Daphnia pulex: one gene and its partner. The protein of the gene in region 1 interacts with the protein of each later gene in a biochemical or structural test. Links are inferred from orthologs where the notes say so. Each region holds a gene or a part of one and is shown on either strand. Other genes may lie near its edges.

The links.
Region 2: the proteins of histone deacetylase 6-like (region 1) and src substrate cortactin-like form a complex in vitro, tested with the Homo sapiens proteins (3 studies listed by BioGRID and IntAct, with this or other methods). The link is inferred for Daphnia pulex from reciprocal best matches to the Homo sapiens genes HDAC6 and CTTN.

What each region holds. Positions count from the first base shown.
Region 1 is NC_060025.1:1,311,148-1,315,070, reverse strand, and holds the start of histone deacetylase 6-like, read right to left. Parts: upstream 2,703-3,923; 5' UTR 2,620-2,702; coding exon 2,521-2,619; intron 2,434-2,520; coding exon 2,303-2,433; intron 2,229-2,302; coding exon 1,947-2,228; intron 1,882-1,946; coding exon 1,708-1,881; intron 1,636-1,707; coding exon 1,443-1,635; intron 1,330-1,442; coding exon of another isoform or gene 1,270-1,329; intron 1,202-1,269; coding exon 1,142-1,201; intron 1,040-1,141; coding exon 950-1,039; intron 877-949; coding exon 770-876; intron 713-769; coding exon 468-712; intron 404-467; coding exon 322-403; intron 251-321; coding exon 1-250. Other genes in the region: speckle-type POZ protein-like, read left to right, coding at 3,663-3,923.
Region 2 is NC_060023.1:10,192,997-10,196,919, reverse strand, and holds src substrate cortactin-like, read right to left. Parts: upstream 2,914-3,923; 5' UTR 2,793-2,913; intron 2,729-2,792; 5' UTR 2,718-2,728; coding exon 2,572-2,717; intron 2,506-2,571; coding exon 2,386-2,505; intron 2,325-2,385; coding exon 2,214-2,324; intron 2,153-2,213; coding exon 2,032-2,152; intron 1,937-2,031; coding exon 1,826-1,936; intron 1,766-1,825; coding exon 1,655-1,765; intron 1,591-1,654; coding exon 1,407-1,590; intron 1,341-1,406; coding exon 1,270-1,340; intron 1,209-1,269; coding exon 663-1,208; intron 604-662; coding exon 523-603; 3' UTR 16-522; downstream 1-15. Other genes in the region: 39S ribosomal protein L23, mitochondrial-like, read left to right, coding at 3,151-3,164, 3,244-3,449, 3,518-3,588, 3,657-3,812.

The DNA of each region.
Region 1 (3,923 bases):
GAGCAACGCAGCCTGATAGGTTTCCGGACAGATGAAGATGGATCCGTACTGCCGTTCCAATTGGTTGAGAGTCGATTGCTTTTTACCAGCGGTCGCCGCAATCTCATCGATGTAGTCGGCCTGATGCAACCACAGCAATTCTTCGCGATCGGCATCTCGAGCATCCAGCCGGTGGCAGCGCTCCAACACTCCGAATTCCATCAATTTCTGGTAGATTGAAGTGATTCTAGCAGGTCGCTCCGGATGTCCACTGCAAAAGATATCGTCAAACAATTCCATAAAAATAACAAAGAACTCGAAACAATTTAAAATTCAACTTACGGTTCGTTGATATTACGATGCAAAGCCATTCTTTCATCGTAGATGAAACAAACGCGATGCTTAGGCACTGCCAAGCTCGTTTCTAAAATAATAAACAATTACAGTTAATTAAATTGTTATTTAAAATTTGTAATCATTCATGTCACCTTTAATGAGCTTATCAAGGCGCTGATCCAAGAGGTCAATCGTCTCATTGCTCTGCACTGGGTAGCAGTTTCGAGTGGCAAACAATGTTTGTTTGACGTCAGATCCTTCAAAAGTGACACTGGGTACAAAGTGCTTTCCTTCCTTTTGACTACCCACTTTTGAAGCATCAAAACGGCCCTGGAACTGTAGACATTTCCACATAGGGCGAAGCACATAAATAGCGCTCAAAATACTTTCCTGAATACTACAATAAGAGAAATGATGCAGCCCGCATTATATTCGTCAAAAGAAATCGTTTTACCTTTGACAAGGCTCTTCGACTTTTGCAATGACTGGGCAAGGATCACCAAGCAATGTTCGCAAGGTCAGAGCAGCTCCTTCGGCTAAGGATTTCAAGCAGTACCCTCCCTAAAAATAAACACATAATTAATGACCAGCACTAGGGTTTGGTCAGAGTAATAGATGAGTCAGCGGATTATACTTCGAGAACGACAGCCAGTTTGCCTTGGGCCAGCCCCATGAGTGATGACGTCAAGTGGGAGTAGCACGCGGGAGTGATTTCCATTTCGCCCTAAATTTGACAAAAGGCGTTGACAATATTAGTCACCGCATATCTTCACAATTCCTTCAGAAAAAGGTAGAATATAAAATAAGAAGAGAACAAATGTTGGACCTTCTCGTCGCCTAGTGCCGAATCGAAACCAGAGGAGACGAGAACAAGATCAGGGCGGAACTATTGCCATGCAAATCACAAGAAAAGAAGAAAAACAAAAAGAATAAGTAGGAAGTCTTGTACACTACCTCGAAACAACCCAAGGCAGCGTCATAGCCGGCTGATACAATAATCAACTCTGGTTGAAACTGAACAAGATGAAGCGCGTTTTTAAATTACAAGCGTATTTAACCATAGTATTAATATGCATTGAACGATTTGAATAGATGAAATGAAACATGGTATCAAGATGAGTTATTACTTCATAAGCCAGAGGCAATAGCAGCTGGTGCCAAATGGCCAGATAGTCGGCGTTACCCATTTTCGTTTTATTCAGTGGCACGTTCACGTTAAAGCCTTTGCCAACTCCACTTCCAATGTAGTGAAAATCGCTTTCACGAAGATTGGGCCAAAAAGCTCCGTGCTCATAACGATGAACCGAGAAATATAAGACTCTGAATATTCAATAAAGGTAACCCTCACATAGAATTGATTCAGTGCATGTGATAAACTAGATGCCTTTTTACCTGGGGTCTTCGTAGAACATTTGTTGAGTTGCCTGGCCATGGTGAACATCCCAATCAACAATCAGAATTCTTTCAACACCCTTGTTATCTAATGCATGCTGGGCTGCAACTGCTACATTGTTGAAGAAACAATAGCCACAATATTCACTTTTCATTGCATGGTGCCCTGGCGGTCTAAATAAATCAGTTTTGAATTGAAACAAAAGAGAGGAGTAAAATTTGCAAAGTATGTATATTACCTGATTACAGCCATTCCATTTTGTATCTTTCCATCCAGTATGGCATCAACCATCTCAACTGTTGATCCAGCTGCCAACAATGCTAGCTCATTTGTTGATGGATGAATGTAAATGGCATCATAACCTGAGCTGATAGCTTCTAATGCTTCAGCATCTGGACTGCCATCTGTTCCTTTGAGCAATTCAATTCTGTCTGGTGTGTGAAGTTTCAACAGCTCATCTTGAGTTGCCTTTCTAGGTTGAATTTCTACACAGCGTTGAGCCAACCCATATTCACGGCATCTGCAAGATTTTTTAACCATTATTTCACCATAAGCAGTTTAAATTTCAGACTAGGTATATAACTGATAACTGACCTTTCCAAAACCCGAGTGAATCTCTCTGGACATTCAGGGTAATTGGGATCCCAAAGACACTGGTGTTCAACCATCCGTTCATCATAAACAATTCCTGTTTGGCCACGTATCTTATCTTTAGAATCCCGAGTCTACAAGAACAGAGTGATACATTCATCAACATCTAGCTTCAACATTATCCAAATTAAACAACGTTTAACAGTCTTAACCGTCCTTACATTTTGCAAGTGATCCACAAACACATTTAATTTTTCATTTTTTTTATTCGATGGTGAGCGACCTTTCACGAAATTCGAAAACTTTGTTTGTTTACTCATTTCGACTTGTCTTGTGGGACTGCTAAATTCTTGACTGCAGCCGCTGACAGAACTCAAGTGCAAGTCAACAAACAAGCTCTTGAGTGAGACATCTGGTGAGCGTCGGTTAAAACAAGCTCACACTTATTATACCGATGCACGAACGAAGTTTGAATTGCCTATCGAAATATGAATATACGAGGTAATTCTAAACTACTGCGTTATTTATTTATAACGGTTTCTTATTAAATCAAATTATTAAATTCCAATTTCCAAAGAAACGGGGTTTACCGTTGAAATGTGATTTATGCTATTAAAATTGATTACAACCCCTTTAAGTAAGACTGTGTCAAGTTACACTCATTCACGACCGATATAAAGCTTAATTTTTAATCAGTTCAGATGATTAAATAATTAAGTCAAATCAAACAACATACCGAGTACTCTCCTAGCAGACGAACGGCATGCGTTTGTGGAACGACATCTGAACGACATCCATTTTCGAAGACGAAACAGAACAAACTGAACAAATCATCGCACAATTTCTTCTCTAGAGTTCGTCAAATTAAATAAACGAGACCAAACATAATAGAGAGGAGGACGTTTTTATTTGTCAAGAAAACTTAAGTTATATGTGTGTGGTTAGTCACAGCTTTCTCAGTTTTCAGGCTTTTTTACGGGTTTATGAAAGATGACGCCATATTCAATGATTAACAACATAATCTTTATGGTTGAAAAGTTAATCCCTTTCGTCGGTGGTATTTAGTTGCAATCAATTGGTCAAATTACAATTTCTCTTAGCAACATAAAGTTTTATTCCCTCGGGTTCTCTTCGGCTCTATGAAATTCTATCCCCTCCCACTCTTTCTCACACCCTTTCAAGTTTCGTTTTCTATTCGTTTTCAGCCCCTTACCCTTCACCCTTCAGTCTGCAATTTTGCTGATGCTGGGGTCTGGGAAGTGGGAAGTGACTCAACACTCAAGTGAGAGCTGGCATTCGCATTTCATCTTTGTTGAGAATAACACGTGTTTGTAACAGTCGCCATTTTTCTACGTACTGAGCCATGCAGTCGTCAGCGGACAATGTCTGTCTCTCTGAATTACAAATTTCAAAACTTGATTTAGAATGGAATGTTCAAGTGCCATGTCTAGAAACTGTTGCGGCGTGGATGGAACCTCTGGAATCAACGTTATTTTCAGCTAGAGAAACTCCTGATCGTCTGTGGAAGCTAGTACTGTCTGATGCGGGTACAACATTAACTGTACAACTATTTCTTACAACTCCCGGATTCGCTAACTTCAAGAGCGTCACGGCTGTCGACCCT
Region 2 (3,923 bases), on another chromosome or scaffold:
TTAGTAACATTTGAATCATTATCAACACACAGATATGTATTTGGACCACCACGTCATCACAGAGGCTTTTGTTTGCAGTCGGTGAGTATGGACATGAAAACTCTTCCAATGAATCAACAGGCTGCATAAGATAGATTGGTCGGTTGGATCTCGGCACAATAATCATAACAAAGCATTGTGATTTGAGTCGGCAAACAACATCTAATTATTGGTTCTTAATTAAATGCAGATAAGGGATAACTTGCAATTCTCTTTCCACAATAATAGGCAAGAACGATGTTTTTCCGTCACACATTTTCATCAAATCAACTAATCTGTAATAAGTAATGTTTTTCTTCACCGCGTTGTGAATACTGACTGGACAACAATACACGAATATAACGCCACGCGTAAAAAGAACCGCCATATGGTTGGCTTACGAGATAAGGAAAATTCTTGGAAAGAATGCTTAACAATTGGGAATAAAAAAGAACCTTGGATTGTTGGATAAAACCTGGAAGACGAAAAAAACTGGATAGGGTTTCACTGTTGCAGTTGGACGTAATTAGCGGGAAATAATCCTATCTGTCCTCTACACTCCCCTCGCCACCAACCTTCATCGATCTGCACAGCAAAAGAGTTGGTTAGAAACTAAACACATTTTATAAATTAATAAACATTACCATTTCGATGTTGACAATGACTTCATCCGGGTCAAAGGAGAGCTCGTCTTCTGCAGCAGCTTGGTAATCGTAGAGGGCGACTGCAATAAGACCGGATCCAGTTTCTTCCGCAACTGTTTCTAAATTCGAATTCTCTTGGACGTAGCCTATCTCTTCTTCGTCTTTCCAGGCGTCATCCTGCTCATCCACTTGCTCCCTCCACGCTCCATCATCCACTTCTTCGACAGCTTCGGCCAGATCATCGTTCCATCGTTCAAGGGATTGCGCGATATGTTGTTGAGTTTGTGCCGGAACAGGTGGAACGACAGTCGGTGGAGGTGAAGGCGACCTAGCAGGTTCTGGAACTGGAGAAATCACAGGACTTTCTCGGATGACTGGCTCTGGTATAACAGGCGACTTGGCTGGGAGGAATTGGTTTTGTCGGACAGGTTTTTCTGTTTGGGGGATTTGTTTAATGGGTGGCTCTGTTTGAGGCGTCGACTGTGTTTCGAATTTGTGTGCTATCTTAGCCATTGGGCGGGGATTCTTCGGTGGAGGAGGAACAACCTAAAGAAATGAAAAATGATGTAATACATTTGTTTGTAATAAGAAACTATCAAACGTTTACCATGGCTGCTTTCTTGTTTTCTTCAGCAAAATTTTCAAAACGGGATTTCAGCAAAGACGCTTTACCTTTCTCTATGGAACCAAATGAGTTTAATAAATTCAAACCAAGAAAAACTTAACGGAAATTTTTATTGTTACCCGCAATAACTGGCTTATCCTTCTCGTAAGTAGTACCAACATGACCTTGTTCTTCATCAAAACCGACGGCCGCTGCATCTTGTCTATCTGTTTGAACACCAAATTTTCCTCCGAAACCTTTTGAACCATCTACTTGGCTCTCATGTTTCTCTACTTTTTCTTGGTAATCATAACCAACAGCACTCTGTCACAAAAGATAAATTAAGAAATTAGTTGGATTACAATAACATTGCATTGGTAGGTTATACTTTATCGACTCGATCAGCCTGGACACCAAATTTACCACCAAAACCTTTATTTCCATCCACCTGACTTTCATGTTTCTCCACTTTTTCTTGATAATCCCAGCCAACTGCACTCTAAAAATTGCACTTCAATAGAAAAAATTCCTTTGTTCAAACAGTTATAGAATTTGTTACTTTGTCGATGCGGTCGGTTTGTACGCCGAATTTCCCACCAAAACCTTTGGAACCATCTGTTTGACTTTCATGCTTTACCAACTTCTCCTGATAATCCCAACCAACAGCACTCTATTTAACCGATCCAAATAAAACGTGAGAAAATAGTGGGCATAACTGTAAAGTAACTGAAATAAAACAATAATGCGCATATTTTAATGAAATACCTTATCAACTCGATCAGTTTGAACTCCAAACTTGCCGCCAAACCCTTTGGCAGCATCTGTTTGACTGCCATGTTTTTCAACCTTGGCTACATAGTCATGCCCCACTGCAGACTTATCCATCCTTAATAAACAATAATAGTAAGAAATTGGAAAGATGTACAAAAAATGAATCCTGTTCTTACCTGTCCTTTTGAATGCCATATTTCCCACCAAAACCAGTGGTGTAATCTTTTTGAGAAGCATGTTTTTCAACTTTTTCGATATGTTCATGCCCGACTGCACTTTTATCCATACTGAAGAAACAAAAACAAAAGTTGATGAAATTCACATTTTAGTTTTCTAAGAAAAACATACCGATCTCCTTGTACACCAAATTTTCCACCATATCCATAAGATGCTTGAGGTCCTGCAGCCATTACCTTTTTCTTGAGCTCCAGATCTTCTTTAGTCGTTTGCTCTCGTAGAGCATTCATACTGTAAACATTGACAGAAACCGTTAACGTAAATACACAATGTCTTGAAGAAAACATTTATGCTCACTCAATAGCACCCGCAGTTCTTCCCCCACCCCATCGTTGTTCTTCTTCTGTTACGTTGTTAATATAATTGGGATCGGTATCCCATTCATCGTCATCTTGGTTGACAACAGGAGCCTTGATGCTGGAACCAACTGCTGATTTCCACATGTTATTACAATCTAGAGAGAAAAATAAATTTTAATTTAAAATTATTTGTGATAATTAATGATCTCTCTGACGTACAAATTCTTTAATAAATAGATATAATACTAATTTAAACCGGCTAAAAGTTGAGTCACACGCCCTTTCTATTTGATAAGAAGTTAAACAATCCGGATAGTTTATCTTGCAACAATGCCATTCGGAAATGAATTTTAAAAACTTATTTTTATTTCGTCATAAAATCTACTAATAATAATTAAAAAAAAAATTTAAATTGTTTCTATGAGTATAAAAGTGTAAATATCATTAATGAAAAGTTTGAAATATGATTTGGCGCAGCATAAAGATTCAAGCATGCACCATGCAGTCAATGCAGACGAAAACAGTAAACAAGAAATCATCAAACTGATTGTGTTGAGGCTTCAAACATCCTGAGAAAATGTCGACGAGAATGTAAGTCAAGAATTTCAAAGCTTAATTGGGTTCACTCAAAATTTATAATTAGTTACGATTAAAAAATCTAAAAATGTAGATATCCAGCTTTCAAAAGCGGTAGTCCTAAATTACGGGTGTTCCTACCTGACTTTTGGATGAAGCTTGTCAAACCGAGCCACAATTTGCTACCTAATCAAGTTCAGTTTGTTGTCTCATCACAAATGACCAAGCTTGATGTTAAACAATATCTTGAAAAAATTTACAACCTCCCTGTTGTTCATGTCAGCACCTACAACCAAATGGGTACGACAACATTATTGAGGTTAAAATAAGTGATGTTTTACTAACACTTAGAATAATTTTCTTTAAAGGGAAAACAAAAACTTTACCCAACACTTATGTCACTAAGGAAAATGATGAAAAAATAGCCTTTGTAACTCTGGTAATTTGAAAACTTATCTTGTTTAATGTTTCTTCAACTGTAACCATTTTGTTTTGTTTGTTTTTTAGCACAAAGACCACAAATTTGTCTTCCCAGAAATTCATGGCAGTACTGACATTTATGATGAGCAAACTAATACTATGAAACAGACAAAAGAATTGTATGCCCAGAAAACAAGCATTAATATTTCTAAACAAGGAGTGCCTACATGGTTTAGTCATTGAATTTGTAAAAAATTTGTTAGAATACAGTAATAACATATGGTTTATTTATTATTTTATTTCATTTGTATAAGATAAAAAGAAACTCCGGGTAGGCCTATGGCACGGTATTTG